Linked DNA regions of Mus musculus: regions 2 and 3 are each reported to be linked to region 1. The links are microRNA targets in miRTarBase. Many come from high-throughput screens and were not tested one by one. Region 1 holds a microRNA gene; each other region holds the end of a gene's coding sequence.
The links. The annotated mature microRNA mmu-miR-212-3p reads UAACAGUCUCCAGUCACGGCCA and lies in region 1 at 1,403-1,424, shown strand. An mRNA with a match to its seed (bases 2 to 7 or 8) in the 3' UTR can be bound and repressed. Matches are read on the target gene's strand: a 7mer-m8 pairs with bases 2 to 8, a 7mer-A1 pairs with bases 2 to 7 and ends in A, and an 8mer does both.

Region 2: the mRNA of Slc11a2 is a reported target of mmu-miR-212-3p. The part of its 3' UTR that is shown has no 7-base or 8-base seed match.
Region 3: miRTarBase lists Usp54 as a target of mmu-miR-212-3p. Seed matches in the 3' UTR shown: 7mer-m8 at 3,338-3,344.

What each region holds. Positions count from the first base shown.
Region 1 is chr11:75,172,041-75,176,223 of GRCm38, forward strand. It overlaps Mir212 (microRNA 212), which reads left to right and starts at 1,348; the gene lies at 1,348-1,438. Ovca2 (candidate tumor suppressor in ovarian cancer 2) reads right to left here. Exons shown (of 2, transcript NM_027136.3): 2 at 3,903-4,183. Mir132 (microRNA 132) reads left to right here and starts at 1,642; the gene lies at 1,642-1,707.
Region 2 is chr15:100,385,547-100,389,729 of GRCm38, forward strand. Slc11a2 (solute carrier family 11 (proton-coupled divalent metal ion transporters), member 2) reads right to left here. Exons shown (of 17, transcript NM_008732.2): 17 at 2,352-3,615. The coding sequence ends at 3,538. Among named protein-coding and RNA genes, the nearest start is that of Higd1c, 23 kb to the left of the region's middle.
Region 3 is chr14:20,546,350-20,550,532 of GRCm38, forward strand. Usp54 (ubiquitin specific peptidase 54) reads right to left here. Exons shown (of 21, transcript NM_030180.2): 21 at 2,563-4,111. The coding sequence ends at 3,552. It overlaps Ppp3cb (protein phosphatase 3, catalytic subunit, beta isoform), which reads right to left and starts at 224. Exons shown (of 14, transcript NM_008914.3): 1 at 7-224. The coding sequence starts at 91. The region is part of intron 1 of 1810062O18Rik (RIKEN cDNA 1810062O18 gene); the gene reads left to right.

The sequences.
Region 1 (4,183 bases):
CACGGTGGCCAAATGGGAGTGATACCATCGCGGGGCATCTTCTGGCGTCAGAGGACTGTAGGGTCTAGGGAATGAGCAGTGTGGTTTGGGGCTGCCAAGGGAGGACCCCTGCGGTCCAGGAGAAAAGAACTGAGATCCTAGGACTCGCAAAGCCCCGGAAGGGGAGAGTGAATAAACACAGAACGGGGCCTCACCCTCCCTGCACTATTCTCCCCCAGCCCGTCGCCTGCAGTTCCGGAAAGTTAACCCCTTGGAGGCCAAGCCTGGGGTTACGTACTCCCCTACCCAACCCTGCTTCCGCGTGCGCACCCTCCTCCCGCTCCAACTCCCTGTCGCTTCGTCCCGCCCTCCCCTACGCCCCCCCTCCCCGCTTGCCACTATAAATAGCCTCTTTTCCCGTTTCCTAAATTCTCTGCTGACGTCGGCAGCGCGTCAGTGTGTAGGAGCCGCGGCCGCATGAATGAGCCGCCGCACGAGTACTACGCGCGCCTATAAAAGCGGCGGCGCCGGCCGGGCTGCGGGAGGCAAGCCGGCACTGGTGCGACGCGGCCCGACAGGTAAGGACCACCAACAGTCGGAGATGGGCAGATGCGCGGACGCCATGGGAAGGCGAGGAGGGGACCGGAGGGGCGGCGGGTTGGAGGGGGACTCCGGAGTGAGGATGGGGGGCAGAGTGGGAGGGACGAAGGTTCCTTTCAGCTTGGTGGACCAGGGGCCGGCGGCTGACCCAACCCTATGCAGCACCTGCCGGCACCCAAATGCAGACGCAGACACTATGGAGAAACATCAAGCGGAGAGCCGAGCCCCCGACCCCATTTCCCGAGGCTGAGCAGCTCCTGCGCCATCCTTTCAAGAAAGTGGGGAGAAGGTGCTGGCGTCTCAGGAGACGCGCCCCCTCATTTCTCCCCTGTCCGCAGAGCGGTGACTCAGCCTAGATGGCCCCGACTGACTGAGCCAGGGCGCCCACGACAGACAGACGCACACCTCGGCCCTGCGGCTTTCTTGGGACCCCCGTCCTGCATGCTCCACACACGCCCCTTCCCTGTCCCGTCCCTTCCCGTCCGGTCCCGTCCCGTCCCATCGGACTGTCCCACTGAGCTCAGGACTTCCCGCCTCTGCAAGCGGAGCTGTCCTCTCAGGACCAGGCGGGGGCGGGGCTTCGATCAGGCCGCCCCGCCCTACCCCCACCGCTCCCCACCGCCGGAAATGCCTCCCCGCTGGGACATCTTTGACGTCACAGGACTCTGACGTCACGGTCGCGTGTCTGTCCGCGCGCGCTTGGGAGGAGGTGGGGGGGCCTGAGAAGCAGCAGCACTCTCAACTGCGGGCGACGGGATATCCCCGCCCGGGCAGCGCGCCGGCACCTTGGCTCTAGACTGCTTACTGCCCGGGCCGCCTTCAGTAACAGTCTCCAGTCACGGCCACCGACGCCTGGCCCCGCCCCAGGACCGCCGACCCCCGGCCCCTCCACGCCTCCCTGCGCCGCTGTCCGCGGTGCTGATGCAGTGCAAGCGCCTCCCTCGGGCACGCCTGTTCAAGGTCCCTGTGGGTTGCGGTGGGCGCAGGCCCCGCAGACACTCGCGCCACCCCCGCCGCCCGCGGTGCTGACGTCAGCCTGCAAGCCCCGCCCCCGCGTCTCCAGGGCAACCGTGGCTTTCGATTGTTACTGTGGGAACCGGAGGTAACAGTCTACAGCCATGGTCGCCCCGCAGCACGCCCACGCTCCCCACCACTCCCGAGTTCTGCCAGCCTGGGTTTGGGCAGATACAGAGCAAGAGGAGGCGGGGCGGCGACGCAACATTCGATGTGTCTGCGGAGGTGGCAAGAGGTGTGCTCAGAAAGGCGGCCTTTCAGGCTGCTGTGCATCTACCTCGGTGCAGAAGCAAGATCCGCGGAGTGTCTGAACATCCTCCTCAGAGACTCTCCTGTCTTCCTAGTCGAGGTATCGCTGCCTAAGGTGGCGAGAAAATGGGTGGTTCTGCGATAAGGATTCTTATCTCATGAGTGGTGAACCGATGGGATCAGGAGTCCTGTGAGAAGGAAGAAGTCACTTTTGCCAGCAGAAAGCTGAAGGGGGAGGAGAAGGAAGTTTTATCACACCTTTCTTCCAGAAAACCCTAGGTGAGCAGGTAGAGGGGAAAGGGCAAAGAATCCCTTTCCTGATAGAGCCATAACTCTGTCCCCCAACTTTCTCCTGGGCCATCATTAAAAGGGTCCTTAACACAGCAAGAAGCTGGCAGGCTAGTGAAATTCACCTGGCCCCTAATTCATTGTCTGAAGGTATCAGCCAGCAGTCTTCCCTCAACTGGTCTGTAAGTAATGCATCCCAACTTGAGATCTTCAAACGTGCCCCCAAAAGGAGTACAACCACAGAGACTGCACGTAAATACTCTCTGTGGCTAGGGCTGTTGAGAGACTCTGTCTGATAGGGTAGAAATCCTGAGTGTAATCAAGATGCAGAAAACAAATAGCAGGGATAATTTGAAAAGAGGACAGCCGGACAGTGGTGGCGCACGCCTTTATTCCCAGCACTCGGGAGGCAGAGACAGGCAGATTTCTGAGTTCGAGGCCAGCCTGGTCTACAAAGTGAGTTCCAGGACAGCCAGGGCTATACAGAGAAGCCCTGTCGTCTCGAAAAAAACCAAAAAAAAAAAAAAAAAAAAAAAAAAAAAAAAAAAGAAAAAAGAAAAAAAGAAAAGAGGACCTTTTGCAGATGGAACCCATCAGAAGATGTGGTTAGAAGGTTGACTATATAATGCTTTGAGTGTTCGTTGTCCTAGAAAACATTTAGTGTAAACCATGCCTTCTTTCCCAACTTTACACATTAGAAAGCAGAAGCCCAGGTTGGGCATTTAGCCTATAGAGAGCGGTAGTTTTTGCTTGCTTTTTACTGGACAGCAGAAAGACCAACCAAAACCAGGAGCTGCAGTGTATACCTGCAGTCCCAGTTGCTCAGGAGCCTAGACAATAAATATGAGATAAATATGAGATTCGTGTCTCAAAGGGGGGGGGGATGATGACAACAGACAAGAATATGGGGCTTTTGAGTCTGAATCATCCAATTTTGAGTAAGGTACTTAGCCTTTCTGTGCCTGTTTCCTCAATTGTAAGACTCAGTTATTAGGTTAATGACAGTACTTTTTCATGAAATTAGACAATGGGGGGGGGGGGGGACAGGGGTGCTGGGCATAGAGCTCAGTAGTAGGTCTGTGCTTAGCATGCCTAAGGTCCTGGGTTTGATCCCAGCACCAAAAATAAATGAGTTAGGCTATGGTAGAGCATGCTCTGAATACCAGATCTTGGGAGACAGAGATAAGTGGATTTCTGTGAGTTCAAGGATAACCAGAACTTCCGTGAGACCCCCGTCTCAAAAATAAGTTAGATGACAGGCTTCTATTTGTCTCATTGTCTGGTATAGTTAATTCTCAATAAATGTTATTTCTACCTCTGGACCTTATCCGCCTGGGCTGTACATAAATGTTAGAGCATTGATTCCTCGGGGGGAGGGGGCTTCTTTTTCTCCCCAGAGGGTTTTGAGTCCCACTAGAGGCTCTTTCCTAATACCACATATTTACCAGAGACTTAAAATTCTACCCAAGACTGTAGTTTGCAAATAGCTACATCAGGAATGACCAGGGGCAGACAAATAGGTCTATAGTTTTCTCTAGGAACTCCAGGTTTAACAAGTGTTCCTTGTGTAGGTGGCCCCCAGGGATGTGCATGTGGTAGTTCATTCCGCATGGTGGGAAGTAACTCTCCACTTGTTGGGACTCGGAACTGTTCTGATTCTTGGGAGGGCTCTTCACTTCAGACATGGGCCCTTCTGTGTGTTCCACCTAATAGAGCTCTGCTTGAACCCTCTCCTCCCTTTTTCCTGGTAGAGCCAGGGCCTACAGACCACTCACATGAACCTTTGCCTTTATTTATAGGGCTACCAAGTACAGGTCATCCTGTCCCCCAGCTTGGAGCTGACACAGGGGGCTGCCTATGACTGCCAGTGGTCTGAGTACTAACTTGCAAACCCACCAATTAGTTACAGAAAAGCAAATAGACCAAAGGGTTTATAAAATTCCACGTGTTCAATCTCCTTTTGTCAAGGAAGCAATCACTGTAAGGCAAGAACAAGGCACAGAGACCAATCCCCCACCCAAGCTGTTAAAAAGGGATCTCAAATCAGTACATG
Region 2 (4,183 bases), not on the chromosome of region 1:
CAGTAGAAGTGCTAGCTAGCCCCATGTCTTTGAACTATACTGTGAGCTAAATACACTTCTTTTCTGATAAAGTACCCTGTTCTTGGGTATTTTAAGAAACAGATTAATACTGCTCTATAATGCCACTATATACAGAAGCCCAGACTTGTTACCATATAGTAGAAAATTATGATTGTTACTGGTTCATTGTTTTGGGTATTTTGCGTGCGCTCATGCAAGAAGCTACCAGAGGGCACTGGATTCCCTGGGTCTGGAGTCACTGATGTGAGTTGCCCCGAGGGTGCTGGGAGTGGCCAGTGCTCTTACCCACTGAGTAACCTCTCTAGTCCCTTGTGCCCTAAGACCAAGATCTTGGCATGTGGCCCAAACTGGCCTTGATTTTGAGATCCTCCTGGCTCAGCCTCCAATCGTCTGAATAACAAAGATCGCCATGCCCAAGCTGAATGTTTTGTTAAAGTTATACTTTTAACGACTTGTGCATGTATGTACGGGTGTACAGGAGCCGCAGCATGCGTAGAGATCAGACATTTTGTGAGTTGCTTTTCTCCACCCTGGGGTTCTCTGGGATGGAACTCAGGTCATTAGGCCTGGTGGCAGGTGAATTTAATTACCTCCTGAGCTATCTTGCCAGCACCATTAACATTTTTTGACTTCTTTTTTGCTTTTTTTTTTAATGTGTATGTTCTGTCTGCATGTATGTTTGTGTACCACATGCATGTCTGGTGCCTGAAGAGTTCAGAAGAAGCATCAAATCGCAGGATTTTTAACTGGACACAAAGCCAAGGGTGAGCCTGGTCTTTCTGATCCTCTTAGCTCTCTCTCCAGTGTTGGAACGCTGGCGCGCACCACAGGCCTCATTACCACCACCACCCCCTTTTTTTTCTTCAGTGTTGGGTTGAATCAAGGGTTTCATGAATGCTAGCCAAAGTTCATACTTGTTCTTAATGGCATAAAGCTTAACCAAGGCTCACTCTTTAGACGTCAATCTTTCAATGGATTTGGTATGTATTATACTTTCTGCTGACAAGAAGCTGTGAGGCCTCGGGGAGATGATACCTGTGAATGTGTGGCATCTTATCTCTGTTCCTACCTGCACCCAGAGGAAGCGCAGAGAGGAGCTACAGAAAGCCTTGAGAGTTCTTGACCTCTCTCATCTGCCTCACCTTTGTATGAATCGCAAAACAGGATGCTTCTGTCTTCAGTCTTTCTTCTCCCACATAATCTCCCAGGGAAAGAAGTACTGAGAAACAGAAGTGGAGGGTCGGGTGGGTGTACAAGAAATGGGTTCATCTGGGACTGTGACGGGTCTTCACCAAACCGAAACACAGGGACTTCGGTAACCGAAGCTCAGCCCAGCTGCTGCTGCTTCTGTCTGTTAAGGTCAGAACTGTGACCTAGGCTACAAGGCTGTTCTAAGTCTTCAGTGGCCTTGTGGCCAAGCAGAACTGAGCACACTTTCAACCCCAGCTCTTGGGGGCTAGGCAGGAGGATCTCTAAGTCTGAGGCTAGCCTGGTCTACATAACAAGTTCTAGGTAAGCCCTGGGCTGGAGAGATGGCTCAGCAGTCCAGAGCACCGACTGTTCTTCCAAAGGTCCTGATTCAATTCCCAGCAACCACATTACAACCATCTGTAATGAGAGCTGATGCCCTCTTCTGGCGTGTCTGAATATACTCATATAAATTAAATAAAATCTTTAAAAAATAAAATTAAAAAAAAATTTTTAAAGGCCCCAAGGTGGACGTGAAGAAGCTGTAAAGGGTGAATTTAGCAAATGCCCTCGCAAGCTGGGAGGTGGTGGCTCCCACCCTTAAATCCAGCACTCAAGGCAGAGGCAGGTGGATCTGAGTCTAAGGTTGGTCTGGTCTACAGAGTGAGTTCCAGGACGGCCAGGGCTACACAGAGAAACCCTGTCCTAGAAAACCAAACCAAACAAAACAAAAAGAGTAATGTCTGATCTCTCTGTTTCTACATTTAATGCTGAAAGATGAATGTGACATTTAAAGTCACACATAGCCTATGGGGTTTACAGACTCAGAGCCTAGAGAGCAAAAAAGTAAAGAAGAATATGAAGGCCCTGTGCCCGATAAGCCGTGTGCCCCTGGGGCACACATGGCAATGACAGTGGGCAGCTATGATTCAGTTCTAGCCTGCTGTATTGTCTACTGTACTGCCAGGTAGGAACGCAGGTCAAGTGCTGTAACTGATTAACTGATTCCCTAAGAAGACAGTTAGAGTATGAGTGTGTGCGTTTGTGTGTTCAGGAGTGCCTGTGTGTGTGTGTGTGTGTGTGTGTGTGTGTGGTGGGCAAGCAAAGAGCTCTACAAATGAGTCGCACCCCTAGACAAAAGCTTTTAGCTATTAAGCATGAACTTTATTATAACAAGGATGATTATTTCTGGTTGGGATTAAAGCAAAAACCAAAAAGCTTCACTACCTGCACACGCGCGTTTGGAGTGTCGGTGCTTAAAGTGAAACTGATGGTCTGTGTTCCCATCGAGTGCGAGCCTCAGACCTCTGCTAACACACACCTTAAAATGCTTAAATTCCTCAGGACACTCAGCGGTACACATACGGGCGGCCCTTAGAGACAGGGTGAGGACAGTGTGTGGAGTGTCAGCGCGTAGAGTGGGAAGAAAGGGCAGGTGGACAGACACCAACGGAACAACAGCCACAGACACACTTGATGTAGAGACAAAGGGGGAAAGTTGGTAAAGTACCTGCTGTCCAGGAAGACCTGAGTTTGGGTCCCCAGCACTGTGTAAAATCTGGGCGTAGCAGCTGATCTGGGACCACAGTGTTGGGGCGCGAGGCCAGGAGGATCCTTGAACTTACTGGCTGGCTAGCTCAGTCACACACTGAACTCCATGTTCAGAGAGAGACTGGAGACACCTGATGCCAACCCGTGGCCCCCACAAGCAGAAGCAGGCAGGCACTCGCGCACGCACACACACACACACACACACACACACACACACACACACACACACACACACTGTGGTAGAGACTGGAGACACCTGATGCCAACCCGTGGCCCCCACAAGCAGAAGCAGGCAGGCACGCGCGCGCGCACACACACACACACACACACACACACACACACTGTGGTAAAGCAGCGCTTCAAGAGTTATTTTGGGGAAGTTCATCGTCAGAAAGGTCCCTTTCTCATTTGTTACCCAAATAGAACAAAGACCTAACTCACCTGAAAGGCATTTGTAAAAATCTATCAAGTTTTATAACCTTAAAATCTTACCCAAACTGGCACGTTTGGGTTCACATAAATACATATCGATACACTTTAAACCCCAGAAGTGCAGACACAAGCCTGAGGGACTGCACAGCTGCCACAGGCCCACTGCCTCCGAAGGGTCTCTGACCCATACGCAACTGTCAGCTTTTACCCTGAGTCCGTGAGGAGAACTTCTCCTTTGTTCAAAAACCTTTGAACAAGCTCACCTCCGAACTAAGGGATTTGCTAACAGGCACTTGGCCCGAAAGGGCTTAGAGAAAGTGTTCTTAAGGTCTCCTGGGCTGTTAGTCATCTGGACACCACTGAGTCAGCATCCACGGTGTTCAGAAGATAGAGTTCAGGCTGAGCGGTCAGTCCCAGGCGGTACTGAGGGAGGACAAAAGCACAGGGAGACAGTTAGTGTCACTAGCAAGGAATTACACTGTGGACGTACACATTATTTTGGCCTCTTTGCTCAGTACAATTGAATTTTATTTCAGAATAGAAAATGGTGTTATGTGAGGTTCTTATTTAAGATCATGGACACTTTTTAGATTTTTATTTTAGGTACATCAGTGTATGTAGTGTGCACACGTCTGCTGCCCACAGGGGTCAGAGGGAGGCACTGGATCCCCTGGGATTGGACCTAGAGAGGGCGTGTGGAGGTCAGCCACACAGCAGCCAAGCAACCCTGAGGTAGAGAGAGCACTCTAGAGAAAGGCTGCAGCCTGGAGTGCCAGAGAAAGCGTGCTTAGAACACAGGCAGGGGGTGAAAACCTTCAGTGTGTGTGCTTCGTGGCTGCCTGAGATGGAGCTGAGTTAAGGATGATGCTAAATGCATTCTGACTGTCTCATGACGAGAGTGAAGCTAGGTTGGGACTTTAGGATAGATAATATGACCACAGTGTACTGGAAATCAGATTTCAAATGATCTAAACCCTGAGTCCAGTAATTC
Region 3 (4,183 bases), not on the chromosome of region 1:
TCTCACCTTTGACGACGCGGTCGGCCCCGAGAGGGGGCGGTGGGGGCGGGGGCGGGGGCGGCGCGGCCCGGGCCGGCTCCGGGGCGGCCATGCTGGGCCCGGGGCTCGGCTAGGTGCCGGGACGGGCGGGGTTGGGGGCGGGGGCGGCGGCTACCAGAGCCAAGCGGCGGCGCCGCCGGGGAACATGGCGGACCCTCTTTCCCTTCAGAGGGGCTAAGACCGTCATGCATCGCGCGTGCAGGGGCGGGGGCGGGACAAGCTCCAGGGACTTGAGCAAAATTACCGAGGCTACTACAGAAACGGAAACAGTCCAAGGGATCAGGTGAAAATTCCGTACATGCAGAAAGACAAACCAGTAAAGAGAGGTTGCAGATTAAACTGAGGGGCTGTTGATAAAATGCAAGGGGAAAAAAGGACGGTTTTTTGGCCGCTTTGGAGCCCAGGAAAATGAAGAGGTGTAATTTGATCTCAGAATTTCCCAGGCCTAGACAAATATATGACAATTTATCTACAAAATCTAAGTGATAATACTATGGCCAGAGAGAAAAATGAAAGAAGCATCAGGGAATCTATAGAGTGGCATTATCATTTAAAATGAAATTTTCCCTTTAATACCAGACCTCAGGAGGCAGGGGAAGGCAGAACTCTGTAAGTTCAAGTCTAGCTAGGTCTAACCACTCAGGGCAACAAAGTGAGACTGTCTCAACAAAACGGGGCCCTAGAGAGTTGCATAGAATTCGAACTCTTGCTTTGAGAGTTTGGAAAAGTCCAAAGGCACATAAATTCAGCTGGAAAAGTCTAAGCACCACGATTTAAGAACCAAAATGGATCAAGGGAAGTAGGGAATGACACCAAGAGGTGTCCTGAGAACCTGTAAGATTCCCCTGGAAAGCCATTGCCTCTCTCGTAATTCACTGAGCAAATAAATTTGAAGGCAGAGAGATGGTTCAATGGATAAAGGTGCTTGCAGCCAAGGACTGTGATTTAAGTTCCTTAGGACTAATCCCCATGGCCGAAGGAGACAATGGAAAGAAGGAATTAGACTCCTTCTAGTCTGACATCTACTAAAACTTGTAAATAAAGAAATGAAATAGAAAAAAATGGAAAGCAGAGACTAAGTAGGTAGAAAATAGGAAATTAGTTCCTTATCTTTGTACATACTCGGAATTTGAATTTGGGCAACTTGCAGAAACAGATCCAAGTTGACCAGCATCCAAGAGGTCAAGAAACAAGTACAGGTGGTCCTTAACAGTTATTAATAAGATGCTCAGATGCTGAAGGCATAGGCCACCAAACCCAGTAATGGAACCACAGGGCACACAAGGTATTAAAAGAGAACTGACTAGTACAGCTTACTCTAGCCTTCATGTGTCCTCCTCATACATATGCACAGTCATTACACTTCTTCCAAAAAGATAGAATTGTGTGTATGACACGAGCAGTGTTGAATGGTTCAGGGGCCAACATATCTACTAAGGCCCATGTCTCTATGTTATAGCATCCAAATAGGATGAAACAAGAAAGCCCTCTGTATCTTATTACTCAGTAACACAAGTTCTCAGAATCTGTCCTCAGTGATTAGGAGGGCAACGTTCTCAGCATCTGTTGTTTCTTTGTGTTCATCAGTAAGATCAAGATCTGGAATAAATAAGGAGGGAAAACCCAATAGACATTCTTTGCAAAGGGAACCTTCCAAATTATTTTCTTTTGTGTGTTTATGTGTTTTACCTGCATGAATGTCTGTGCACCACATGTGTTCAGTCTCCATAGAGGGCAGAAGAGTAGATTATATTCCCTGGAACTAGAGCTACCAAATATTGTGAACCACTATGTGGTACTGAAAACTGAACCTGGGTCCAATACATGAACAGCTTGTTCTCTTAACCATTGAATCATCTCTCCAGCCACTACAAAATACTTTTCAAAGGAAAGAGACTGTTGGGAGTGTGTCATGGGTGAAGATAGCTCTCATTATCACAGAGATATTCTGACTCTTAAGGGGAAAGGAAAGGGAGCAAGGCAATAGGAAGAGCAAAGGATTGGAGTCACATCACACACCTGGAATGCAGAGAGGAAAGGCACCAAGGCTGGTACTGTACTGGGAGTGAGTTTGTCAAGGTGGTTTGAATGCCCAGAAGACAAGGGGAGGAATGGAGAATGTAATGCACTGAGTGTCCCAGGCAGGGGAGGGATAGTTAACACGCTAACAGCCATAACAAGAGGGAAAGACTCTTAAAGATATGTTGACTCCATAAGTGAGTTTGTTTTTTTTGTTTGGTTTTTTGGTTTTTCGGTTTTTCGAGACAGGGTTTCTCTGTGTAGCCCTGGCTGTCCTGAAACTCACTTTGTAGACCAGGCTGGCCTCGAACTCAGAAATCCACCTGCCTCTGCCTCCCAAGTGCTGGGATTAAAGGTGTGTGCCACCACACCTGGTCAGTTTGTATTTTTAAATTCCTCTTTGGCTATTCATTTTCACTTGGTCAAAGGCATTTCATATAAATGTTGAAGCCTCCCGACCCCAGAAGAAAAGAGCAAGGACATACAAAAGTAAAAGACAAGAGATTAAATACAACTATCTTATAGATTTATTAATGAAAAATACTTTACAAAACCAGTATGCTTTGCCCTAAAATACTTTAGCTGACTCTTGAGAGTTTACAAGGGTGAGTGAGCAGTGGTAGTAATGGCTCTGCTGCTAAGGACAGGAGGGGTGTTAGTGTGCCCAACTCCATCTGTTCAGAAGGGCAAACAGTGTATTGGCAGCTCCACATTCTAGGCCTAAAGTCTGAGTCACAAGGAAGGCTGACAGGCCATAATACCTGGGCAGTTGGGCTTCCCTTAAGGACGTGGTCAGAATCCTGACTATGGGGATAAATACCCCTTTTCCATTGATACGAAATAGGGAAGAAAGAATGTTAAGTAATATGGACAGGTGGATAAACAAAGAGTGTAAGTTGGGAGTATAGTAGGACCAGAAGATGAGGGCTCTGATGGAGATGGGGCCAAAAGAACCAGAACTAAAGTAGTCCAGACTAGTCTAGAACTTGTTATGTAGCCAAGGATAACCCTGAACTTCTGATCCTCCTCCCTCTGTCTCCCAAGTGCTAGGATGACAGTTGTGCACCACCATGGTCAGTTTCACACACTTCTAAGGATAGAACCATGGCTGATGTGCATGTTACAAAAACACGCTACCAATTGAGCTACATCCCCAACTCTAAAGCTGGAATTTCAAATATTCCCTCTCAAAGCAGCAAACACCCTTAGGGGAAAAAAAAATCAATGTCTTCTTTGTTGTTGTGGTTCTGTTCTTTAAAACAAAACAACAACAACAACAAACAGTCTCTTTTTACCCCAGTCTCTGGCCTTGAAATGCTGATTCCCCAATCTCTACCTCCCAACTACTGGGATTACAGGCATATGGTGCCTGGAATGAAATGGCCAAGTCTGTTGAGATGAGACTGGCATAACTGGCAGGAAACAAGGTGTCACTGCGCCGCCGTACAGTTTTATGGATGAAGGTGTAGCTCCAGGGCAGGTTAGGGTGGCCCTTACCACCTGCTGTGCTGTAGAAATCTCACCCTGTTCTGCTCTCTTCCAGCAGCATTTGATAGAGCAAACATAATTCTTTCCTCTCCTGGGCTCCTGTGTCTGTCCTGGGAGGGGTAACTGCTCTGTCTCCAGTCATCATCTGGGGGCATGTCTATTCTTCGTGGACCAGGTGTTCGGGACCCCAGAACAGGACCAGAATTCCAAGTTGACCTAAGGGGTACATGAAGATTGCTGGATGGTGGGGACCCTGGGTGAACAGCAGAAGGATGGGAGGGTGAGTGGAAAAGATTCCCCCAGGACTGAGCATGTGGAACCTGAAGGCCCTGGTGTCTTTCTGGTAGTGTGGCAGTGTAGGTTAGCTGAGGCTTGCATGCTGGCATAGTTAGGACTCTGGCCCCAATGTGCTGGTTGGTCTCTGACCCTGGTCCCCAGGAAGCATCAGTTCTGGAACGATGAGGTAGACTTCGGTAGTTCAAAGTCCTTCCTGTGTACTTGACCCCTTGGGGAGTTTCATCCCTGTCACACATAGCCAGAAACTGGTGGACACTCCTTGAAGTTCCTAAGAAGAGAAAAGAAACCCAAACACTGAGCATCTTTAGAAAATAAATCTACTTCCCAACCCTTAACTCCT